Nothobranchius furzeri: one gene and its partner. The protein of the gene in region 1 purifies or fractionates together with the protein of each later gene. This does not show direct contact. Links are inferred from orthologs where the notes say so. Each region holds a gene or a part of one and is shown on either strand. Other genes may lie near its edges. The genes, in order: tnfrsfa and CASP8 and FADD-like apoptosis regulator.

What was found.
Region 2: the proteins of tnfrsfa (region 1) and CASP8 and FADD-like apoptosis regulator purify together in Homo sapiens (affinity purification with western blotting; 5 studies listed by BioGRID and IntAct, with this or other methods). This does not show direct contact. The link is inferred for Nothobranchius furzeri from reciprocal best matches to the Homo sapiens genes TNFRSF10A and CFLAR.

Annotation. Positions count from the first base shown.
Region 1 is NC_091746.1:65,398,556-65,402,113, forward strand, and holds part of tnfrsfa (tumor necrosis factor receptor superfamily, member a), read right to left. Parts: intron 1,790-3,558; coding exon 1,678-1,789; intron 1,120-1,677; coding exon 986-1,119; intron 891-985; coding exon 789-890; intron 704-788; coding exon 654-703; intron 566-653; coding exon 284-565; intron 197-283; coding exon 160-196; intron 1-159. UniProt on the Homo sapiens protein: Receptor for the cytotoxic ligand TNFSF10/TRAIL. The adapter molecule FADD recruits caspase-8 to the activated receptor.
Region 2 is NC_091754.1:17,630,624-17,633,268, forward strand, and holds the end of CASP8 and FADD-like apoptosis regulator, read right to left. Parts: intron 2,606-2,645; coding exon 2,527-2,605; intron 2,061-2,526; coding exon 1,568-2,060; intron 1,491-1,567; coding exon 1,361-1,490; 3' UTR 553-1,360; downstream 1-552. UniProt on the Homo sapiens protein: Apoptosis regulator protein which may function as a crucial link between cell survival and cell death pathways in mammalian cells. Acts as an inhibitor of TNFRSF6 mediated apoptosis.

The DNA of each region.
Region 1 (3,558 bases):
AATCTTGTTGATTGGATTTCGTGTGGTCCGGCACACACTGCATTCTAACGTTGGCGTTAGACTAGTTACCGTTTAGCAGTGACACATTTCTGTGGCATTTTTATGGTGAGAAAACATCAGTCAAGACTGAGGAGCCCGTTTCCACAGCAGGAATCTTACCGAGTAGTGGAAGCAGGCGATGTCGTAGAGGGTCAACCTGTAGCACGAGGACAAAATGTAAACATAAGATGAACAAACATCAGCTGCTTTAAAGATCAGAGTTTGTTCTGATGCTTTTCCTCACCGTGTCTGCAGGCTGAAGTCTGACCGCCGCAGGGCTGTGGTGCGGGGTGTTCTCAGAGAACGCTGCGGTGGGCAGCGCTGATAGACTCGTCTGAGATGAACTAGTAGTGTTGGGTAAACTGTCTCCAAGTCCCCTGTCCTCATCCTCGAGGGGAGGGCAGGCCTTGGTCATCCCGGCCTGAGTCTCCTGCAGCAGCGGCCGGGACTCTGGGCGCGGCTCTTCGCCCTCCAGGCCGGCGTTTTGATCATTCTGTCTCTCCTCGGCTGTGGCTCCACTCTCGTCCTAACCAGCAGAGGGGCGAACGAGGTAAACTAGTCACACATTGTCCTAAACATCATCTACACTAGTCAAGACTGATTAGACGACTTACAATGGGAATCTTGACAATTTCACTGGAGTCACAGTGGTTCTTGGACCCTGCTGAAAGCAGGGAAACAGCCTTAAGCATGAACACACAGAACCAGTGAAAACAACTCCCAGTCATCAGTAAGTGATGCTAACTCACATGGAAGTTCACACGAACGCTGCTTGATTACAAACCACCACAAGGCCCACGCAACGACGGCGATGAAGATGACAATGATCAGGATGACAAATATTGTGATGACTGAAAGAAATAACACACAAAATCAGTGAAAAAGCCTAGACAGGTTTCAGCTAGAGTGGCTCTTAAAGCCGACTAACAGGCTGTGTGAAAAATACCGTGATTAGTTGGAGAGGTAGAAGTCGGCGGGGTACGATCCGTGGCGCTTTCAGTGGGAGACGGACCCCGTGTTCGGCAAACCGTGTTGGAAACAGGCGTGCAGTTCTTCACCACCTCCTCACCTGATTTACACCTATAAACAGTTTTTGGGGAGATCAATAATAATGCATCAACTCCACCAAGCAACAGGCCCAGGGGTCATTACTGTAGTCAGTCCCTGATGCACACTATGGCTCTGAGTGGTGAACAAGTCTCTATAGGCTGGGTCTGGTCTGGTCTAGCCTAATCTAGCCTGATCTGGTCTGATCTGATCTAGTGTAATCTAGTCTAGTCTCATCTGATCTGGTCTGTTCTAGACTAGTCTGATCTAGTTTGATCTGGTCTAGTGTAGTCTGATCTGATCTAGTGTAATGTAGTCCAGTCTAGTCTAGTCTCATCTGATCTGGTCTAGTCTGGTCTGGTCTAGTTTGGTCTCATCTGATCTGGTCTGTTCTAGACTAGTCTGATCTAGTTTGATCTGGTCTAGTGTAGTCTGATCTGATCTAGTGTAATGTAGTCCAGTCTAGTCTAGTCTCATCTGATCTGGTCTAGCCTGGTCTGGTCTGATCTAGTTTAGTCTAGTCTAGTTACCTAATCTGGTCTAGTCTGGCATGCCAGCAGGGTGGAAGTAAAATCATCAAACAAGACTCACTTGGCACAACGCTTGCAGACTTCGCAGGCCTGGTCTGGAACACAGAAGGTACCTGGTTTGCACTGGCACCTGGTGTCTGTAGTGGTGGTGCAGGACTTGGTTTCAATCTCATCTGTGGAGAGGTGGGAAAACCATGAAAACACAAACCTGACAACTTATTTCAAATATCTGAATTCTAACATCTTGCTAAACGTTTGGGGTCGTGGGGAACTGGTGTTGGGGGACAGGTCTCCAGTCCATCACAGGGACAACACACACGCACACGCACACGCGCGCACACACACACACACACACACACACACACACACACTCCTAGGGACAATTCAGTCTCCCACTAATCAGACAAGCATTTTTTTTGGTCTGTGGGAGGAAACCGATGTACCCAGAGAAACTCCACGCATGCACACGAAGAACACACATACTCTACATGAAACCAAAGTCTTTAAAACCAACAGCAGTCTGTTCAGGTGTGATCCAAATAAACAAATAAACACTCCACCTCCACAGAACACCTGTTATTAAGTGTCCAAACTGACTTTCTACTGATTTTTTTTTGCACAATTAAACCCCCCCCCCCTTTTTTTTTTTTTTTTACAGAGGTGTAGTGCGTTCACTTGAAGAAAAAAGAAAACTGTTTTTCTGAATAAAAACTGTTAGGGCAAGGAGGAAAAAATGTTCTGTTCCACGAGTATCGCTCAACGATTCTCGTGTCCTGGCATCGATAACATGATACGGGAAAGTTTTGCTTTGGCTAGAAGATCTGATGGGGCTTTAGTCATGGAGTTCATCCTACTTAGCCAGTTAGTAAAGCCTACAACCACAGAACATCATCTCTATAAAACACTGCAGTGATACATTTATCCATTTAGTTTAAATTATCTCATTTATTCAGAAAAAATTCTTAATTATTTTGAAAAATAATGTTAATTAAAAAGATCAGAGTTTCTATTTTTATCTAATATTATTAGGGATGTCTCATATTATCACCGCCGGTGATGATCAGTATTGGTTTTTTACTCATTTTGATACCATGCACTAGGGCTGCACAATATATCGCAAACATATCGTTGTCGCGATATCAGCATGCACAATATGCATCGAAAACAACAGATAATAATCGCAATGAATGGTCAGCTCAAATATTTGCTACACGAAATGCATTCTGTCCATCAAATGAAAGCATGATGTTTTTTTAACCAATCAAATAGAGTTCTTCACCCATTTGGCCAATTGGGTGGGTTCTCATAGGTCAGATGCCCGCCCCCGAGGTGGACGGCATCTAATTTTGATGGTTAGCAAACACCTGAGTTAGCTTTGTTCTGATCTTTCTGCTGATTCTGCTTTTCCCGGGATCCACTGATTGCCTTTTCTTGTTCATTTTCTTTTTCCCTTTCCACACATTTTTTGCTTTTCTCATTTGTATGACTTTGTCATTTTTTAATTTCTTTGTTTTTGATTATTTTTGTTCTTGAGTTAAGTTTTTATTTATCGCAAGTAATATCGTCATCGCAATATTAATCACTGTTATCGTATATCGCAGGTTTTCCTAATATAGTGCGGCCTTACCATGCACATACTGTACATCATGCTCCTCAGCCACTCTTCTCACCCAAAGTGTCCACATATTATTTCATATAATATGAAGTTTGCTTGGCACAAGTGGCCTAACTTAAATTGATGTAGTCGTCATATTTTACACAGATAATATTTAAAGGAACTTTACAGACTTTTGAATTTTAATGCTCGCGTTTGCCCCCTCAGGCCAAAAGCGTAACGGCAGCTTCAATAGTAGGCTCGTGCATGAGGTGCGCATGCTTTACGTGAACACTCCTTAACGAAAATAACAGCTGAGACAGTCCCGTGTGTGTGTGTGTGTGTGTG
Region 2 (2,645 bases), on another chromosome or scaffold:
GGATGGGCAGAAGCGGAACCATTTATGTGCCACCCCCGTCACCCCAACCCAAGACCCAACTCAGATCAAATCAAGGTCCGCTTAATAGTGATTTGGGAGCAGAGTGGTACAAAACAACCAACGACAAACATATACAACAAAATAGTTTATAAAAAAATTAAAATGCCTTTTTCCAAAACATTTAAATAAATGAACAGCAAATAGCAACACTGGGGAAAAAATTTACATTGCTTAATTAATAGTGATATAAGGTTAAGTAGAATTTTTGATTTTGCTTTTTACTGAATTGCAATGTTGTGATAGTTTGTGCTTTAGATAAGAAACAGACAAATATTCATGCAATGTAAATATAACATATTTTCTCCCACAATCTTCCATAGTAAGTGGCTGTAGCAGCAAAATTTGAATAAAACATTAAGTATTTCAGCACTAATACATTCAAATTAACATGACTATTCACTCAGTGTCTTACTGATGTTCTTTTTCAATTTTGATTTGGTAGATGCAAAATGATCACTTGGCCCCACACAAAACCTTAAAAACGGAAGGATGGTAAGTTAAAACTTTATTGTACATTATGATGAATACATGAAATGTAATAAAAAGTACAATTAACATTCTATTAAAGCTATGAATAAAAATACATTTTCAACTAAATATATTAAGGTCAGCATTTGACATTTATAAGCTAGCATAATTATATAAATTTAAATTCACATTTAAAGAGAAGCAGAAAGAAACATTCAACTTCATGACGATGAAGAAAAGCTCCTCGTCGCGTCTTTAGACTATATTTTATTACAGTAAACTTCAAGACTCATTTTTTACTGAGATCTGAGATAATAAAAAAATGTAAATTTATATAGTGAGCTGCCTTCCAATGTTAGTTTAACTGTAAGTCTTGAGTTTCCAGGACTAACAATACTCTATGTTGCTCTTTTTCAGACGTCTGTATCATGAAGTCTCTCAATAGTTTACTTGCATCTGTTATAAAAAAGTTGAAATATAAAGAACTAAATAGTGTCTCAGGTATACAGAATGAGTAGTGACGGAAGCAAATACACTTTTATTTAGTTTTACTTTATATTTAAATAAATGTTCTGCTTCTATTCTGTTTGGTTCTAGTTTTCCATCTTCATTGAGTCTCTGGTTAAAATGTTGAGGTTCTGAATATGGATTGGGGGGGGGGGGGGGGACAAGGTTTTATAGAAAAATGTATAAAATAAAGAGAGAAAAATATGTTTAGTATTTAAATATTTCTTCTTCAGCCGCTAGGTGGCAGTGTGCACAAATGAAACGCTTGAATCCATGTGAAATTGGTTGAGGGAGTTCAGTTGAAGTAACTTCCACTTTAGCATTTCTAATCCAGATATAGATTCTTCCTTAAAGTGTGTTTTACGTCGATGCTATAAGCTGCTCCAGGATTTCTTCTATTATGCTCAAAAATGGCTCCATTCACCCTCATTTGAACGTCAACAAGATTCAGTTTCCTGTCAGAACAGGGGAGAGAAAACGAGAAACATTTAGACGAACAGAAGACGATATTAAATTTAATGTTTGCTTCTACCTTCTTTGGGCGTCGTGTAAGGCATCAGTCAGCGCCTTTAGGTAGACAGAGTGATGTTTCCTTTGCAGCAGCTGACGTTCATCTGTCCAGCAGTGACTCCAGAATATATCTGCTTCTTTGGGAATGGAACCACTCGCTGGCTGTCTATTAAAGCCATCGACCTCCACGCTCTCGGCCACGTAGTTCAAATTAGACTCTACAACGTTGTACCTCTGGATAAAGAACAGCTTTGGCTTCCCAGCCAGCATGGGACAAGCGTCACCCGTGAAAAGATTTCTGATGCAATCTATAGCAAAACCGCCACCATACTCATCTGTACCCAAAAGGCGGTGGGTAGAACCACGGCTGATGATGCAACAGACAAAAGCATCTCCTATGTGGTTTTCTGTCGGTCTCAATATTTCTCTGAGAGATAAAAGGATGAGATCAGAAGTCAAGAAAAGGTAGAGGGAAACGTTGAAGTGAAGAGCCTTGAACGTCTGTTCTAACATTTCTGAAAGAGAAAGACGACATAAATAATTAGAGAATAAGTGAGTGACTTTGCAGTACACATGTATTTTTTCCCTTCATCTGAGTATTTTCACTTTTCCTGCACCACATCTCAAGGATTGTTGGGCTACATTTTACGGTACGATAACTTCTTATTCACTAAAAATCATATTTTAAACTGAAATATTTATCCTAATTGTAGTCACTCAAGCCACTTGTACAATAAGAAAATTAGCCCTGTAGAATAAATTTAATTCCTTAATTCAGTTTTCCACAAAAATGCAAATCACAAAACCAAATTACTGCATAGGCATTAAAGCAGCAATCTGGAGTGTTCCCCCTTTCAGGAATTACGTATGAGTTTTTCAGAAATCCATAAAGTGACAGCATTAACCTGTTCTGTGAAAGAATGTGAGCGATTTGTCAAAATTCTATTTTGTTTTACCTCATTATAATGTTTTAGGTCTCACCTCCACCATTTCCCACACAGTCTATAATTACACAGACTCCTCTTGGATTAGTGTTCAGGTTGTACCGTTCCATCGGACTCTGCAGGAAGAAAGCACAAACCTGTTAAACATGCACTTTA